Linked DNA regions of Notamacropus eugenii. The protein of the gene in region 1 purifies or fractionates together with the protein of each later gene. This does not show direct contact. Links are inferred from orthologs where the notes say so. Each region holds a gene or a part of one and is shown in the gene's direction. Other genes may lie near its edges.

The links. Proteins that work in one complex are often made in the same cells at the same time.
Region 2: the proteins of TGFBRAP1 (region 1) and VPS33A purify together in Homo sapiens (co-immunoprecipitation; 5 studies listed by BioGRID and IntAct, with this or other methods). This does not show direct contact. The link is inferred for Notamacropus eugenii from reciprocal best matches to the Homo sapiens genes TGFBRAP1 and VPS33A.

Annotation. Positions count from the first base shown.
Region 1 is NC_092877.1:200,323,577-200,333,449, reverse strand, and holds the start of TGFBRAP1 (transforming growth factor-beta receptor-associated protein 1), read left to right. Parts: upstream 1-5,519; 5' UTR 5,520-5,659; intron 5,660-9,113; exon of another isoform or gene 9,114-9,146; intron 9,147-9,873. UniProt on the Homo sapiens protein: Plays a role in the TGF-beta/activin signaling pathway. It associates with inactive heteromeric TGF-beta and activin receptor complexes, mainly through the type II receptor, and is released upon activation of signaling.
Region 2 is NC_092875.1:37,521,958-37,531,912, reverse strand, and holds the start of VPS33A (vacuolar protein sorting-associated protein 33A), read left to right. Parts: upstream 1-6,244; 5' UTR 6,245-6,439; coding exon 6,440-6,541; intron 6,542-6,972; coding exon 6,973-7,038; intron 7,039-7,718; coding exon 7,719-7,846; intron 7,847-9,497; coding exon 9,498-9,684; intron 9,685-9,955.

The DNA of each region.
Region 1 (9,873 bases):
TCCAATGCCAGTCTTTGCACAAACTGGCTTCCATGCCTGGAATACCCCCCCCACTCTTGCCTCCTGGAGCCAGAAGCTCTTGTCCAGGTACATCTCAAGTGTCACTGTTACAGGAAGCCTTTCTTGTAGTAGTATATCACAAAAATCAAACACTCTGAGCAAGATAGATTTATGAATTCAGAAATTCAGGGTTGGTTTGTATTAGGAAAACTATAAACATAATTTACTATATTGATAACAAAATCAACACAAATCATATGATTACTTCAATAGATGCAGAAAAAGCTTCTGACAAAATATAACAGAAGTATCTATTAAAAATCAAGAGCCAGAATTATCTGTAATTTGGATAAGCTATGAAGCTTTTCCAGTAAGATCAAGGATGAAGCAAAGTTGTCATTTATCACCATTATTATTCATTGTACTTGAAATGCTACTTATAGCACTAAGAAGAGAAAAAGAAATCTAAGGAATAAGCATAGGCAAAGAAAGAACTAAGTTTATCACTTTTTGCAGATGATATGAAAGTTTACTTAGAGAACTCTGAAGCATCAACTAAAAAATTAATTGAAACAATTAACAAAATTATCAGCAAAGTTGCAAGATATAAAATAAACCACACAAATCATTGACAATTCTGTAAATAAGAATAAAATCCAGCAGGAAGAAATAGAAAGAGAAATTCCACTTATGATAAGCAAGGATAGTATAAAACATTTATGAATCTACCTGACAATATACATACAAGAATTATATGAACATAATTACAAAACAATCTTTATACAAATAAAGATCTAAATAATTGGAGAAATATTAATTGCCCATATGTAAGCCAAAACAATTAATAAAAATGACAATACTACCTAAATTAATATATTCAGCGCCACACCAAACTACCAAAGAATTATTTTATAGAGCTAGAAAAAATAACAAAATTCACCGAGAGAAACAAATGGTCATAAATATCTAGGAATTCAATGAAAAAAATGGGAAGGAAATAGTATCACATCTGAAACTCTATTACAAATCTGTAATCACAAAACAATTTGGTCCTGGATAAGAAACAGGGAGGTTGATCTGTGAAACAGATTAGGCATACAATATACAGAAGCAAATGAACATTTTTGTAGTTATTCAATTGCTTTGGTTTTGTCCAACCCCTTGTGATGCCCTACTCCCCTCCCAAAATTAACAAAGCATTATTTGATCCCCTCAAAGATCCCAGCTATTTGGGAACAAGAACTCACAATTCAGCAAAAGTGTTGGGAAAACAGGAAGAATGTCTGGTAGGAAGTAGAGACCAACATCCCATGAAATATATCAAGATGAGCTCAAGATGGGTACATGATTTAAACATAAAGAGTAACATCAAAAGCAAATTAATAGAAAATGGGAATTATTTGTCAAATCTATGGATAAGAGAAGAGGTCATGCTCAAACAAGAGATAAAGAGATTCACAGGAAGTAAAAGGGATGATTTTGATTACATAAAATTAAAAAGTTTTTGTAAAAGCAAAACCAATGCAACTAAAATTAGAAGAAAAGCAGAAAACTGGACCAGGGGATTCTTTGTAGGAAGTGTCTGATAAAAGTCTCATTTCTGAGATACATAGGGAAATTAATTATGTTTATAAGACTAAGAGGCACTCCCCAGTTGACAAATGGTCAAGGGATACAAATTGTTGTTGTGTTCATCCTTTGTTGCCGAAGAAGACCATGCCACCAGAGAAATGATGACATGACTTGCACTTGACTTTGTTTTGAGTGAGGGAGGGTGTGCAAGGTCACCAGTCTCGCTTTTTCCTCCTGAGCCATCTGGATCTAGTGACCAGATGATATTCATCAGGATGACTGGACATGGCCTAGGATGCAGTGGGAGACCTTGGCCCCTTTAGGTATATAAATAGGCAATTTTCAAAGGAATATGTGAAAGGAATATATTCAAAGGAATGTCACATGAAAAAATTTTCTCACTAATAATTAGAGAAATGCAAATGAAAACAACTCTGAGGTACCACCTCATGCCTATCAGATTGGCTAGGTTGACAAAAAAGTATAACAAAAGATGCTAAAGAGGATGTATACTAGGTACACTAATACACTGTTGGTAGAGTTGTAAACTAATTCAAAAATTCTGGAAAGCAATTTGAACCTATGCCTAAAATGCTATTAAATTGCTTATACCCTTTGATCTAGCAGTATTTATATCCCAAAGAGATCCCACAGAGGAGAAGGATCCCTAAAGGACAAAAATACTTATAGCAACTCTTTTTGTGGAGGCGCAGAATTGGAAACTGAGTAGGTGTTCATCAGGTGTTCAGCCAGGAACTGGCTGAACAAATTATGATATATGAATATGATGGAATACTAGTGTGCTGTAAGAGATAATGAAGAGGAAGGTTTTAGAAAAACCTGGGAAGACACATATGAACTGATGCAAAGTGAAGTGGGCAGAACTAGGAGAATAATTTATATAATAACAGTATTGTAAAAAGAACTTTGAAATATTTAGGAATTCTGATTAACACAATGACTAACCACAGTTCCAAAACACACATGATGAAACATGCTGTCCACCACCAGATAGAGAACTGATAGGTTCAAAGTACAAATGGAAGCATATTTTCTTTTCTTTCAAAAAAGAAATTTTTTTGGACATGACTAACGTGAGAATATGTTTTGTATGACTATGTACATTTATAATGGATTTTGCTTTTCTTACCTAATCAATATGTAAAAGAGAAGGAGAAAGGAAAAGAATTTGGAACTGAAAATAAAATAAAATTGAATTTTTTAATTGAATTGTGGTAGTTAGTGCCCCCCTTAGAAACTACTTTGCATGTATTTTGCATAGGTTTTTTTATTTACCTAAGTGTGTGTATATTTACTTATCTGTCCATAGAAACAACTTGGCCACAAGGACTTTTTAATGTTATCTTTGGTTCCCTAACCAAACCTGGCACATAGTAGGAACTTAGTAATTGCTTGTTGATTAATAAAATGCTTATTGAATTGATTATTGTTCAGCAGTTAGCTATTCAATATCAAAGGTGGGTTTTGAAACAGCATGTAGACCTGACAACTAATTATTAAATTAGTTTATATGGTAGCATTTATTTAATAGCCTGAAATTTGTTTAATCATCAGTCTCTTAGTTTACATCTCTTTCTTGCTCTGAAAAATCCCAAACAAGTCTAGTGGAGCCCATCTCCTAATGGATGTCTGGATGTTTTATTCAGGACTCATTTCTAACCCTATATATATTAATAAATGGACTGATTTATAAATTTGGTTGACATATGTTGTCAGTTTCAGTGAAGGAGATAGAAAAGGAAGCCAGGTTTCTAGGGACTGAGAAATGAGTGGGTGGCAAAAAAAAAAAAAAGTGGAGACAGCCAAGTATAGACTACTCTCTTTGGAAATTTAGCAGTGAATGGATAGGGACATATATGATAATAACTTAAGGAAGTGGCAGAGTCAGTGTTAGAGTTGTTTGTTTTGTTTTTTCAGATAAAGAAGACCTGAGCATTGCAGGAACAGCATTGTAGACTATATAAAGCAGTAACACTGGCACTGCTTCTGCCTTCTAATAGCAGATAAATGAAAATACATCATGAAAGCATTTGTATGTACCTATACAGGCAGGATAGCTATACAGCTGTTCTAAATTAGTCCCCTACTACATCCGTAGTCATGGACCTATATCTTACCACTGGACTCCAATGACTTCTGGGGGGAGAGGGAGGTTGATGATTTTGCACAGCTCTGCCTCACTTTGGGGGTGGGTATATGTGTGAAATGTCATTTTGCTTCCATTTAGGGAAGAATTCCTCAAGGAATGTGGGGTTTTAGGAGTATGAGAAGGGCATGGCATTTATTGATTAGTTGGTAGGCAGGGGAAGATGGAACAAAGTAGGCTCACTTGGCCCTTAGGCTTTACTGATAAGAGTTAGAGGACAGATAAAGTCATTTACCAACAGAGAAGTGTTTTGCCTCCTAGAGTGGACGTTGCTTTTGCCAGGAGTATCTCTCCTGATTATGATGACCAAGGTTGGCTTGGAAAGAGAAATGGGACACTAAGGGTATGGAACGCTACATATACTGTCAGATTCCACTAAAGTGTTGGTTAGTTTTACCAAACTGTTTTTCCCTCTGGCTTTTTTATTGTTATAAGGGATGGCTCCTTGGGTGATGGTGGGGAAAGAATATTTGGAAATGAAGGTCTTATTAAACTAAGTTTTCCCTCTTTTTTATTGTTATAAGGGATGGCTTCCTGGATAGAGGTGGGGGGCTCATATATTTGGAAATGAAGGTAATGAAAGAAATATGGCAAAATTTCTAAAAATTAAGAGTACACTCTTCTGACCATACTGAATTTCTTTCAGGCATCTATCTTTGTTACTCTGAGTTAAACTCTCCAGAAAGCAATGAATTTGCCTTCCCTCCCCTACAGAGAAACTCAGCATTTGTGGGGAGGTAGAGATGGGGATGACTAGGGAGAGGGCCAAAGAAATGACTTGCAGTCAAGAGCAGCTTTACGTCTTATGTCTAGAAGACTAACCAGAAAGGGCAATGCTTGACCCAGGGGAATAAATCTCTCACGGCATCTTGAGCCACTGGGAAGAAAAAGATTTGGGGTTAAGGTGTACCTTCCTAGAACTCAACTTTCCACAGAACCTTGAAGGTCCTTCCAAGTATTAGGAACCTTCCCTCACTTCATTTCCCCCACACTCCTTTTTGCCCTGGGTTAAAGTGGATGGGAGTGGGAAGCAAGGGGGAGGAAGGAGAAGAGAGAGCAAAGAGGATAGGAAGGACAGATAAAGGAAGAATAAAAGGGAAGTGGGGAGACAGGGGGGAGAGAGAGACAGAGAGAGACAGGGAGAGAGAGGGAGAGAGGGAGGGGGGGAAGGGAGAAACAGAGAGGGAGAGGGAGAGAGAGAGAGGAGAGGGAGGGAGAAAGAGGAGAGGGAGGGAGAAGGAAAGAGAGAGAGAGAGAGAGAGAGAGAGAGAGAGAGAGAGAGAGACGGAGAGGGAGGGAGAGAGAGGGAGAGAGAGAGGGAGGGAAGGAGGGAGGAAGGGAGGGAGGGAGGGAGAGGGAGAGGGGGGAGAGAGGGAGGGAGGGAGGGAGAGGGAGAGGGGGGAGAGAGGGAGCTGGGGGAGGCGGGGCCTCCGAGGACACCTGCCCGGCTGCGCTCCGGCGCTCGCAGCTCCAGGCACAGAGAGCACGCCCAGGTACCGGCGCCCTCACGCCCACTCCCACCCGAAGGACAGCTCAGGCCCTCCCCCAGCCCCCTCCATGACCCTCATCCTCAGCCGCGGGGAGGGGGTCGAGCGCGCCGGCCGGATGATCGGGCGCCCCTCTCGGCCCCTGTCAATCAGAGGCGGAGGCCGCCGTCCTGCCGCGCTCCGGGGCGGGCCCCCACGTGACGGGAAGCGGCGGCGGGGCCCGGACGGAGCCCCTGGGGGAGCTGCGGAGCCAACCCGGAGCCGGGCCGGGCGGGGCCGAGCCGGGCGGAGGGCGCGTGTGCGGGGCCCAGCAGTCCCGGGCCTCGGCGGCCGCCGCAGCCGCAGCCGTGAGCGGGAGGCTGGGCGCAGGAGCGGCGGCGGAAGGCGGCTCGGGGCGGAGCGGACCGAGGAGGCCCGGGCTGGGCGAGCGCGGGTGAGGAGGGGGCTGCGGCGGGGAGGCCGCGGGGCTGCGGGCGGGCCGGGCTGTCACAGCGCTGAGGCGGGGCGGCCGGGCGGGTGGAGGGCGGCCGGGGCTCTGGCGTGCGTGCGTGCGGGTGTGTGTGTGTGTGTGTGTGTGTGTGTGTGTGTGTGTGTGTGTGTGTGTGTGTGTGTGTGTGTGTGTGTGTGTGTGTGTGTGTGTGTGTGTGTGTGTGTGTGTATGCGTGTATGTGTGCGGGGGTATCCTGGGGTGGGGGGGGTATCGTGCGTGCGTGCGTATGTGGTGTCCTGGTGTGTGTGTGTGCGCGTGCGTGTGTGTATGCGTGTATGTGTGCGGGGTATCCTGGTGTGTGTGCGTGTGTATGCGGATGTGTGTGTAAGTGAAATTTAGGAGGGTGGGATTCAGGGTGTGATCTTGTGGTGTGTATGTGTGGGGCTGTGTGTGTGATTTAGGGTGGTACGGCGTATGTATGTGCGCGTGTGTTAGGTTAGGGGCTGTATGTGGTTCAGGAGGTTGGGACTCTGTGTGTGTGTGTGGTGGAGGGGGATGGTCCTCTGCATGTTTTTTTGTGTATGTGTGTGTTAGGTTGGGGGTGTGGTTAGGAGGATGGGACTCTGTGTGTGGGGGGGCAGTTAGAAGGATGGGACCCTGGATATCTGTGTGTTTGGGGGATAGGGGAAAGATCCTGGAGACTCATTGCTTGATTTGAAGTGGAGGTTGAATACTTTCAAGACGAGGAAAGAGAATGAAGAGACCCTATCAGGGTCTCTTTCCTCTATCCCTAAGGCTGTTTGGGAGCAAGGAAGCAAGTGTATATGAACCATAAGTTGTTCCTAGGCATCTTGAAGTTTTAGAATATTTAAGGTTTATCTTTGTCCCAATGGGCAAGAGAACCTCATGGATGAAAAGATAGCAAGTCCAGTGTTGAATTAAAATGGATGGTTTTTGAGGATTGAAGAGCTCAAAGCCAGAATCCTGAGAGATTTTTCCCATGTTGCCAGTTGAGGTGCAAGTGGTGAGTTAGTTTTCACTTGTAGTTGATACTACCTCCTCTTGAGTACAGGAAGCTTTCCATGAATATGGACAGAAGGCTTAGTTTTCAGGCATCTGTACTTGTCAACACGGTAGCCAGCACTGTATGGAATCTCCTTTAGCAGCATTCGTTCACAAAGCTACCAGGGCCTGTGGATTACCTGCTGCCCACTAGGATTCCATGGAGTCATCATTAATGTTAGAAGAAGGCATTTAGTTTTGTAGGTTGAAAATTTAACTGAGTAAGGGGTTAATCACTGTTGAAATTGCTGCACTGTGAGAAGCTTCATCTCTTTGTTTTCAGGGAGGTCAGCATGTTGGCATTATTGTATTTGTCAGATTAATGCATTGATAAATCATGTGTGTGAGTATAATAGCACTATAATATGAGATGTTTCATTTGTAGGTCAGAATTGATGTCTGAGAACTGGCTCTCAGCCCAAATGAAGCCTGATGTTGAGGCCCACGACTCATTTGTAATTTATGTGCTTCCTCTCTCATAGTTAGACCAAAACCATCTGAGCTTTACTACAAAACCTGGGGAGAAAACATTTGGACGGTTTTTGTCCTTTCCCCTTCCTTTTCTGCTTGCTGAGTCTACTTCCTTTGCCTCTTCTCTCCAAAACACTCAGTGAAGCCAGTCTTTTTTGGCTCAGCATTTTTTTTTTTTTAGCAGCTGCAGTGGTGTGGAAAGAGCATTGGTTTAGGAAATCAGAGACTTGAGTTTTAACACTAATTCTTAGGCTAACTACATTGACCTTGGAAAAATTCAGTTGATCTTTTGGGCCACTTTTCATTATGTTTGAAGTTAGGAAATTGAAAGACCTCTCAATTTCCTTCCAGCACAAAACTTCTTCGATTCTGTGTGCTTTGAGTGCTGTCTTTGATAATAAAAGATGGGTGGGTGTTTCAGAGTAAGTTCACTTGTGGATTCTCTAGCCTGATTTCTGTTTAGGCAGTGGTAAGTTGGAATAGAAAATATAACAACATACTTAGCTTTCATTCATTCTTCTGTGTCATTTTCAGTCATGTATTTATTTCTGCAATAGTTTTTGTTCAACTTTAAGGTATTGTTATTATTAGAGATCATCTAACTTGACCTCTTATTCAAGGCTCAAATCCTTCTTAATAGTGGTTCAGTCTCTGCTTAAATATGTCCAGTCAGAGGATACTCAATACCTTTAAAGTGATTTGTTTCATTGTTGGGTAGCTTTAGTCACTGAATTCTTTGAAAATGAACAGAAACTATTACTCTTTTAAAATGCTACAACATCAAATTCCAATGTTCTACTGGCCCCTTTATTGAAGGGAACTGAAGTCCAAATATATTTAAAAGGTTTTTTAATAGACCCCCTTCTGCTTGTATTAAGAATTTAAGATTCTCTTAAAGGAAACTCTAGGTATTTTACTTAATGAGTTTAAGCCTTTTCATCTTGGTTAGAATCCAGTTCTCGTTAGAAATACATTAAAGTAATTATTTTCTGGAGCCAGGTGTTTGAAAGATATTCAGTAATTTGGCCCATACTTTCAACCCATTTCCTCTGTGGCAAGCCTGACCAGTTTTTCTTTATTAAAACAAACAGACAAAAGAAACACTCAAAAAAAACCCAACCCAAATCAAACAAACCCTGCAGAACTGCATGAATGTAGAATAATTTATATTGGCTAAGGTTTTCTAATGTTAAATATTAATACAAAATTTACTCTGTCTTACATAAGAAAAAGCTAAACCCTGGTTTCAAAATATAAAAGTACCATGAAACTGAGATACTTCCTTAATAGCATAATCTAAAGTAGCTAATTCATTAACTGTTAAAATTGTAGCTTGAAAAAGGGTACACAATTATTTTGGAAATCTGACACTGAGGGAAGTACTGTTTATTAAATATTCTGTTCTAAAGATTCCATCCACCCTTATAAGCTGATCTTTCTTGGACTGGTATTAACAGATCAGAATCTAAACTGGATTTACCCAGATTAAAAAAAATTACATTTGGGAACATCATACAAACTTTGAAATTACAATTGTACACATAGGTTATATACTATTTGCAACAGCATCTTTAAATGAGGATACTAAATATATATAACATGGTTATTTCTTTATATCCTTACAGATAGTTGGAACAGCTCTTCTTCCACTTTAGTGAACTCTTTTGTTTGTTAGAATATAGGGAGACTGTGAATAATGTTCAGATAGTGCCATTTTTATGGGGAAATAAATAGGGGAAAAGAATAGATTCTGGGAAACACAGATAAAACTTTGATGAGAAAATAATAGTAACAGCTAGCATTTACATAGTACTGTAAGGTTTTCATGTGCTTTATATGTTATCCCACTTAATCCTTACAACAACCTCTAAGATAGATGGTGTAATTTTCTCCATTTTACAGATGAGGAGACTGAGCCTGAGAGAGGTGGAGTGACTTATCCAGGGTCATACAGAGAGTAAGTGTCTTGAGACAGGATTTAAACTCAGGTCTTCCCAACTCCAGCATTCTATCATTGTGCCACCTAGATGTCCAGAGAGTTCTAGAGTAAATTATTAAACAGATGTTTTATGAGAACTTAGAAACAGAGTTGGGCGCTAGGAACCAATATGGGCTCAGTAAGAATGTTATGCCAAACCAACGTCAGTTTCCTTTTTGATAAAGTCGCTAAATTAAAAGACCATGGGAATGCCCAAGATCTGGTATCTTTTTTTTTTAAATTTAACTTTTTTTGGCTACATTTTAAGTTCCAAACTTTCTCTCCCTCCTCCCCCAGAAGGCCACCATTTCACTCACATACATACACACACACAGACACACAAATTTGCATCCACACACACACACGTGTGTGTGTATGTATGTGTGTGTGTGTGTGTGTGTGTATAAAATCTTACTCATACTTCTGTTTATCACTTCTTTTCTGGAGGTAGATAGTGTCTTCCTTCATAGGCCCTTTGTTTTTGATATGAGTATTTATAGTACTTAGAACAACTTAGTCATTCACAGTTATTCTGTTACAGTATACAACATTCTTTTGGTCCTGCTCATTTCACTCATCCTTCATGCAAGTCTTTTTTCTAAAATCAGCCTGCTCATCATTTCTTACAGCACAGTAGTTAGTATTCTATCACAAGCATATACCACAACTTGTTTAGTGATTTTGCAATTGATGTGCATCCCTTTAG
Region 2 (9,955 bases), on another chromosome or scaffold:
ATTGCCTCATGGAGAACTTGCACTCCAGTAAACCTCTCAGTCTTTTTCAGCATAACTGCTGACCAACCAGGCCTCCTTCCCACCCTCCTTCCATCTTGTGCCTGTGAATTTGACTTTGTACTCAAGTTCAAGTCTTGACATTTATGCCCATTGAATTCTTAGTGGATCCAGCCCAACCCTCTAGCCTATCAACATCCTATTGGATCTTGTTATCCACTGTTAGCTTTTCCTCCCACATTAGTCTCATCTGCAAATTTGATGAGCATACTTTGTATGCACTTATCTAAGTCATTGATAAAATACTAAACAACATAAATCCTTGAAGGTTCTCCAATGATACTGCAAAGTTGCTACTGAGCCATTAATAATAATTCTTCAAGTCTGGCTATCAAACCATTTCTGAATCCAGCTTTGTGTATTAACCTTCCAGTTCATATCTCCATCTTCTGCACAAGAAGATAATGAGATAATTTATCAAAAGTTTTGCCAAAATAGGCAAGCTATATCCATAGCATTCCCCTCCCTGTTTACTAGTCAAGTCCCCAAATCTCAAGAAAGGTTAGTTTGGCATGAGTTACTTATTTATTGCATTTTTAATTATTTATTGTATTCTTAAAGTCTTCGAAAACATGTTTCTAGATGTTCACCAAACCTCTCTTTCTACTCTAGAATTTTCCCAAAAGTCTGAGTTGCTGACTTTGAAAACTGAGACACTTATTTGCCCATCTTCAAAGTTGTTGTACCACTTCCATTTTCCATAACCTTTCAGATATTACTGATAGACAGATGGCAACAGTCAAATCTATCAAGGTCCATGGATATAGTTCATCTGGGCCAGGTGACTTAGCCAGGGATGATGTAGATGCTCACTATCCCTTAATTTATCTTGGATATCAAATCCTTACTGGTCATCTTTGTTCTGCCATTTCTGGTACAGGGTCATTTCAGTTCCTATGTTTGGTGCCAAAGGCCTCTTCAAATGATTGATCATGTGACAAATCAATAGCCCACGCTAAAGAAGGGATAAGAAGCAAACCACACCTAAGACTTCCATGTCAAGATGGGATGGTAATAGTCACTCTAAAGCTGAGGCCATGCAGCCAAAGACGGTGGGAATAGGAGGGAAGGCTATAGAAGCTCCCAAGACTACTTTCTAGCTTTTACGTTTTGTACAAGAAAAATTATATATCTGATCTTATTGCCAATACTTACACAGCACTTGCAGGTTTGCTAAGTGCTTTACAAATATTATCTTATCTGATCCTCACAACATCCGTGGGAAGCTGAAAGATGCTAAATAAACAATGTGCCCAAAGTCACATGGCTAGTCTTTCTGGGGCAGAATTCGAACTCAGTTTTTCCTGAGTCCAGATCTTGTGCCCTATCTACTATGCCACCCAGCTGCTTCCTGAAATGTGGTAGAGGCATTCCTGTTTTTTGGCAATTCGGTCTGCTACCTCCACTTCCTGATCCATGCTCTGGGATTTCGGAACATCCTTAATTGTTTGAGAGGGAAAAGAAGCAAGGGTTAGGATGCTTCTTCCTCATCCTCCCTTACGTCTGTCTCTGTAAGGTATCATAGAGGGATATATAAATGTTCTTATCTGTAATTCCATGGGCTAGCCACAAACGATGGTTGATGTTAAAGATGAAAGCAAAATAGCTGAGAAACCATTAACACTACATACCATATACACCAAAATATTTACAGCAGCATGCACTTTTTGTGGTAGCAAAGAATTGGAAACAAAGTAGATGCCCATCATTTGGGGGAATGGCCAAACTGTGGTTGAATATAAGAGAATATTACTGTACTCTAAGAAATAATGTGTGATGAATTATAAAGCATGGAATAAGATATATAAGCTGATGTACAGTTAGAAAGCCAAGGAAACACTGCACACTGACTACAGCAATGTAAATTGAAAGAACCATCTAGCAAAAAATCAAGTGATTCTAGCAAAATTGCGTAGCTCCAGCAAAGACTCAAAGAGACAGGAGAAACACTTCCCCACCCACTTGTTCACTGAGTGAGGTTCACAGGTGGTGCACACAAGCATGTTGTGGGACTTTTTCACTCTACTCATAATATGTTGTACTGATTTCTCTCTGTCTCTTCACCACCTTCCAACAGTATCTGTTACATAGGATGGCTCTCTGGAAGGAGACAGGGGAGAGAGATTCTGTGAAAAACTAGACAGCAATAAAAAATTATTTTAAAAAATCTACACAGCATAGACTAACCAACTAATATGGACATGAGATCAGTCTAAATTGCCTGGCCTTTGCTAGGAGGATGGCATTAGATGCGCAGGTGGCCATGAGCTTGAACAAAGATGATAAAAGTTTGTTCATAGCTTTAATTTAATTAAACTGCTGACCCAGAAAGCAGAGGTGTCAAACTTAGGATCAGCAAAAACTTGAGTATAGCCTGAAATAAGTCAAAATGTAATTGGGAAATGTTAAAAATAAATAAAAATACAACATAGATAACAATCATTTGTGGTTTTCTAAGTTGGTCCTCATGCAGGCAGCAGAGATTCTATTTGAGTTTCATACCACTTGTCTAGACTAGAGCACTCTGGATACTGGGAATGTTAATATTCATGAAGGCTTAGCACTTCAGATCTGTAAGAGGGGTTAAAAAGGACTAGAATCGGATCTAACACACCCATCAAATACTGCGAGATAGCTATCATGCCTCCACTAAGGGATATTTTGCAGACCAAATGTGCTCATTTCTTTCAGCTGATCTCATGGAATCATCTCTGGTCTTTCCCCATACCTGGAATGTACTCTCTCCTTACCTCCTCCTCATGGAATCCTCTCTTCCTTTAAGAAACAGTTCTGGGGGCAGCTAGGTGGTGAAGTGGATTGAACACTGGCCCTGAAATCAGGAGGATCTGAGTTCAAAAATGGCCTCAGACAGACACGTGATACTAGCTAGCTGTGTGAACCTAAGAACATTATGACTATTAGAACATAAGCCCCTTGAAAGTAGCCACAGTTTTCATTCTTTCTATTTGCAGCCCTGGTGCCTAGCATGGAGTAGGCTCTTGATGCTGGTGGGACTCTGGATGCTGGATCCACTTTATTTGTGTCCTGAAACATCAGGGTCCAAAACTGAAAACAACACAACTTGTTTATTCCTGCCTGAAAGATCTCTCTCTCAACACAGCCCAGGATCTTACCTTTTGGGGGCTGCTTGCTTAGTGTTCACATTACAATCCACCACAAACTGCTATTTAGCCATGCCTCCATCTTGCACTTGTAAGTTGATTTTTTTGAACCTAGGGAGAAGACTTTACATTTATCCCTCCCTATCTTTTTTGATCTAGTTCTGATGCTAGACAGTCAAGTTCTTTTGGGCTTCTGACTCATCTACCTATTACAGCTATATATGGCACCAGCAAGTTTGATGTTTTCTACACATTTATCCAAATCACTCATCAAAGTCTTAAATAGCACAGGGCCAAACAGAGAGATCCCTGGGGCCTGACACTGGAAATCTTCACCCAGTGCTGAACCATCTGATTGCTTACTAGTCCACTCCTCTTCATCTTTTCCACAAGAATAGTATGTGATACTTCATCAAGTGCTTTGCTAAAATCTAGGCAAACTATATTAAATTCTCCTGACTGACTAATTAAAAAACCCTGTCCAAAAAAAGAGATTACTTTGCTAGGACCCACTCTTGATAAAGGCAACTCTGGCTTTTTGTTACAACCACTTTCTTTGCTAGTGGTCTTGCCACTGGACTCATAACTCTGGAGACAGGGAGGCTGAGGACCTTGCATAGCTTTACCTCACTTAAATCTGATTCATGAGCAAGTGAAGACATTAGATGTCATCAGTTCTCTTGCAGAATGAAGTACAAACAGCAACCAGACTGAAGGGAATGATGGATATAGTTGACCTAGAAGCTTCTGATAAACGTTTTCATACTGTCCTTGTGCAGAAGATGGAAAGATAGAGATGGGACAATAATCAGGTAAATTTAGAACTTGCTGGATGGCCAGATTTAAGAATAGCTAGTGGTAGAATATTCCAGAAACCTGTGCTTGTTCTGCTGTTATTTCTTATTTGTATCAGTGACTTGGATAAAGGCATGAAGTTCACCAAACAGGCAGAGGACTCCAATATGGGAAGGACAGATAAGATCCAAATGGATCTTGAGAGGATAAAGCAGCACTTCTTAAATTGTGGGTCATGACCCCATGTGGGGTCTAGAAAATTTTGCCAACAATAAAAGGTTTCTGAATGCAAAATGACCAAAATTAATTTAAAAAAATCAAACGTCATGAATCTGAGGTATTTCTGGCAGTGTCTACTGTCAAATTCACAGGTACAAGATGGAGGATGGGTGGGAAGGAGGCACAACGGCTCATCCCTTATGCTGAAAAAGACTTGGGAGATTTAGTGGAGTGCAAGCTCCTCATAAGTCAGTAGTATGGTGGGCATCACCAAAAATACTAATGGGATCTTATGCTGCATTGAGAAGGGCACCATTTCCAGGAATGGTGAAGTGAGAGCCCCACTGAACTCTCTGTCTCTGTCAGACCTCATAGGTAGTTAGTTGTATGTGTAGTTCTAAACATCAGTTTCAGAAGGACATTGATGAACCAGAGAAGAGTCCAAATAAGGGTAAGTGGAATGGTGAAGAGTTATGAGGATGGGTTGAAGGAACTGGGTTCTTTAGCCTAGAAAAGATGCAGAGGGGGAATATGATAGTTATCTTCAAGCATCTGAAAGGCTGTCATGTGCAGGAAGGATTAGATTTCTTCTACTGGCTCCAGACGAGGGAATCACTCTAAATCTGTGATCCCATTATCTTAGAGAACAACTGTTGAAATAAGTGGATTTTGGTACAAATTGAACACTTCTGCTAACGTAGATTTCAAAATAGGTTTTATAGGGTTTTTCAGTACTAGTTGAACACTTCTGCTAATGTAGATTTCAAAATAGGGTTTTCTAACTAAAATGAAAAAATCTAACATGGAAATTAAAAAGAATAAGCCAGTGTTCATGAGATCATAACATTTAGGACTAGGAGGGCTCAGAAGTCACTCATTGGACTCTTTCATTTTACAAATGAGAACAGAGAGAATTGTGGTGACATGCCCAAGGTCACACAGGGCGTTTTCCAGATTCTACCAAATCTTGTGGGTAATCTCCAACTCTCCTTTACTGTTTCCCAAAGTTTCATCTTTATAAAGAAATGCTTGTCACAAAATTTAAAATAGGACAATACAGCAGAACTGTTCCAGCTTCAGTAAAATCCAGTGTACGACTCTTTGGTGACTCCATCCCTCAGTGGGACCAGGATGAGCCTGTTCTGTAGAGGGAAACAAGGCTAATGGCCAGCCTGAGGACCTTCTTCCTCTCTGAGAGGCTCATGGCCCCAAAACACAGGGCTGGTTGTTCTGTCTTTCTGTCTGTCCTGGCGCATCCAACCTGTGCTCCCAGATCCTGACAGCAGCTGCGTTCCAGGGCCTGGATTCCCAGCTCTTTGTGGCAGCCACCCTGGTACCTACAATCCGGGACTGACACCAGCTTCTCCGTCCCCTCCTCTCCAGTCACGTCACGTCCAGACACGAATTTAATGGGACCGAGGTTAGGTGGGTAGACGGAGAAACTCAAGCGCGCGGAAAGCAACCTTTCCAAAGAGGCGCAGGTAGCAAGGGCAGGGCCTCCCACAGCGAAGCCGCAGACGGAGGCCTTAGGCCTTTTTTACACTTTGAACCTAGGGAAAAGGTGGCGGCTGGAGTCAGGCGGCCCGAGTTCAAATCCTGCCGCGGACGCTTCGCAGCCGCGGGATCCGCCCTGTCTGCCTCAGTTTCCTCGGCTGGAAAGAGGGGGCGGCAGTGGCGTGCTCCCGGCGGGGCTCTCCGCGGGCACCCATCTGGAGGCGGGATTCCTCCTTCCCCCTCACTTCCGGGGCACGCCCATCGGCAGGCCACGTGACGCCCGGCCCCGCTCCCTGCTGGGACTGACGGGAGGCTGGCGGGGGCTGCACGTGCACGGCCTCGCTAGACAGGAGAGGAAACTGAGGCCCAGAGGTTCCCAGGCGTGTTACGTCAGGCTCCCGAAGCGCTTGATGCCTCGCACTTCCGCCGCTTCCCTGGAGACCCCCCGGGCAGGACGCTGGGAGGGGGGAAAAGAAACCAGGGTTCAGGAACAGCCGTGACTCGGCCTCCGCCTCGGAGCTCCCGGGAGGGAGGGGGCCGCCCCGGAACACGCAGGGGCTGCCGGGAGCCGATGCGCGCTCCCCGTGCGCATGCTCAGAGGCGGTGGCGCCCCTGTGGCCCGGGCATTTCCGGCTCCGCCTGTCGCGCGTCACGTGCGCGGAGGCGCGATCAGCTGACTGCTGCTTCGGTGCGCGCTGAGGGCCGTCGGGCGCGGGGAGGGGAGGGGAGGACAGGGGAGGTGCCGCTGCAGGATGGCGGCTCACCTGTCCTACGGGCGTGTGAACCTGAACGTGCTGCGCGAGGCGGTGCGGAGGGAGCTGCGCGAGTTCCTGGACAAGTGCGCGGGCAGCAAGGTGAGGCCCGGGCGGGCGCGGAGGGGAAACTGAGGACCCCGAGGTCATGGGCATGCCTTCCCCCGAAGCTTCTCGACATCCTTCGGCTTCTGACCGACAGCACTAACGGGGGTGGGGGGGCCGGGCGGGTGCCCTAGGCCGGCCCGCCGCCAGGTGCACCATTGTCAGAGCCTTCGCGATAAGCGCTTTTCCCAGGGCGTCTGGTGCAAACAGGACCCCAAGGGTTTTGAGTCCGACGAAATTGGGCCCGGGCGGGAGGACGCAGAACACCCATGTGACGCCGGTAGAATTTTGGGTGGTTGTTGAGAGCTTAAACCTGTGACGTTTGCAGCAGGTGTTTGCCTCCCTTCTTGGGGCCCAGACCGGCCTTCCGGGGGCCTGCCGGCCGCCCCCAGCGCTTCCCAGGTGGTCACTGACTCTACTCTTTGCAGGCCATAGTTTGGGATGAACACCTCACGGGGCCCTTTGGGCTGATCGCGCAGTACTCGCTGTTGAAGGTAAAGAAGATAGAGTGGGGGGCAGGGGCAGGGGCTGGGACAGGGTCAGGGTCAGGGGCTGGGGCTGGGGCAGGGGCAGGGGCTGGGACAGGGGCAGGGGCAGGGAATGGGGCTGGCGCTGGGGCAGGGGCAGGGAATGGGGCTGGCGCTGGCCTCCTGGGGCAGGGGCAGGGGCTGGGGCAGGGGCTGGCCTCCTGTGTGAACTCCTGGAGCTGTCACTTTGAGACCCCTCTGTGACTGGAGGTGCTGATGCAGCTCATATCCAGCCTCATCCTTTCTAACCATCACACACATGTCCTGCATATTATGATTTGTTATTGTCTCCTTGAGCTGTGTCCCACTCACCGTGACCCCGTTCCTGGAGTGGTTTGCTCTTTCTTACTTCAGCTCATCTTACAGTTGAGGAAACTGAGGCAAGCGGTGAAGTGACTTGCTCAGAGTCACCCAGCTAGGAAGCGTCAGAGGCTGGATTTGAACTCAAGAAGAGGAGTCTTCTTGACTGTAGGCCCAGTGCTCTCTGCACTGTGATGCCACCTAGCTCCCCTTTTTTCTCGGTACTTTACAATTACACCTATATGGTGCTAAGCTCCTTAAAAGCAAGTGCTTTTTTAAGTGTTTGATGAATTGAATGTTCAATTTCAAATCCACGTCTTCAGTTACAACTTTTGTCTTTTCCACAGGAACATGAGGTGGAAAAAATGTTCACACTTAAAGGAAGTCGACTGCCTGCAGCTGATGTCAAGAACATTATTTTTTTTGTCAGACCCAGGCTAGAATTGATGGATATAATTGCTGAAAATGTACTCAGGTATCTAAGGAGGAAAAATCTTAAATTTATTTAAAACTAAAATGGTGTTTAATTCTTACATTCCAGCTTTTGAAGAAGAGTGTGGATGGAGTATGGATTACATTCAGAATGTGAGGTGGCTGTCATAGAAAAATGGATAGGGTGGAAGGGTGGCCAGGCTAGAAGAGAACTGAGCCTAGAACGTTAGAGCTGGGAACTTTTGCTACTGGGAATGCCTAGAATGTTAGAGATGGACATTAGGGGTCATCTAGTACAACTCCCTCACTGCATCGATCAGGAGATTCTTGGAGGAAAACCTTCAGTGGGGGAAGTAGTACCATAGGCTATAGTTGGCAAGGACCTTGGAGGGTGTCCAGTCCAACCTCCAGAAGCAGGATTTGAATCTAGAGCCTCCTGCTTGATCTGAAGCCAGGGCTTTAGGGTCTCTGTCCCATGCTGCCTCCTCAACAAGGCATTAAGTAGGAAATAGTAAATTGGGCCCTCTGTGTGGCCCCTTTTAAAGGTATGAGGCAGGCTCTCCTGGGCCGACTAGGGGTTGGGCAGGGGCAAAAGGAGGAGGAAAGATGAATCTGTCGACTGAAAGGAACCTTCCACGAGGACCTAAAAGATCAGATTACAAGATTTAGAGTTGGAAGGGACATTGGTGAGCCAGCGCCCTCATCGAAAGTCCAGAGGAGGAGCCTGAGACCCAGGGCACTTAAAACACTTTCAAGGCCACTGGGAGGCAGAGCACTCTTGCCCAGATCCCGTGTTGTATTTGTTTCCTAAACCCAGTCTGCCCTTTTAGAGGAAATGAGGCTCTACTTATGTTTCACAAGAGAAAGTAAGCAAAGCATTTCTAGAGCAAAAATGAGATCCTCCTGTTTACAGAGGCTTCCCTGTAGCCCTTGGGATACTGGGCTGATCTCTTTCATGGGGAGGAATAATAATTTTGACGGAGACAGTGATATCCCTGCTCCGTAGATCAGGGGCTGTTTTTCATTCTGTTCTCACAGGACCACGCACATCACAGACCCTTGGTCAACACTGATTTAACTGAATGTTAACATGTATTGGGAGTCATCAGTTGGAAAAAAGGAAAGGAGAACACAGAAGGAAGGAATCTTTCAGAGGCTTGCTGAATAGTTTAATCAGAGGCTCCCTCTAGTTACAACATCGTTGATTAGTTGGATTTACTGCTACATTAAATCAAGCACGTTAGTGTCACAAAGTGTAACATAAAGCGTTTAAAAGAGGATTTCAGTGTGGTTGTTATCAAGAGGAAAGGGAAGGGAATAAGCATTTATTTAATTTAAGCATTTATTTAATTTAAGCATTTATTAAGCACCTCCTGTGTGTCTTTAAAAACATGTCACTTTATTTTCACAACCCTGAGTGGTAGGTGCTGTTATTATCCCCATTTTATAATTGAGAAACTGAGGCAGGTGGGTTAATTGACTTGCCCAGGATCACATAGCTAGTAAGTGTTTGAACTCAGGTCTTCCAGGCTCCAGGCTAGGTACTCTGTGGGCTGTAGCATCCCCAGCTGCCTCCAAGACCACATCTCTATTTATGTGCCTGTGTTCTTTTTCCATGAGAAAACTCAATGCCAGTGCCTTGAGCCATTTGTCTTTGAGACAATAAATACCACAAACATCATGTTCCTTTCTAGTGAAGATAGGCGCTCCCCTGCCAGAGATTTCCACATTTTGTTTGTCCCACGCCGGAGCTTGTTGTGTGAGCAGCGTCTGAAGGATCAGGGAGTTCTGGGATCCTTTATTCACAGAGAAGAGTACAGCCTTGACCTCATTCCGTTTGATGGTGACTTGCTGTCCATGGAGTCTGAGAGTGCTTTTAAAGTAAGTGTGGAGCATCTTTGTTAAAGGAAAAGCAGTAACATTCTCACTTTATGTATCAACTTTGATCTCATACCTTGAAAGGTTGTTACCAATCAGGTATTATTATTTATTAGTTTTAGTTATCATTTTTTCCTACATGAAAGAGATTTTCTGATGTTTAAAAAGGAAATGATGTGGTTTAAGGGGTTCAGGGACCCCTCAAGGACTGAAGTATAAGAGATGGTCATCTGAAAGGAATTCACTGACTCAAGCATTCTTTAAGTCAAGGTGG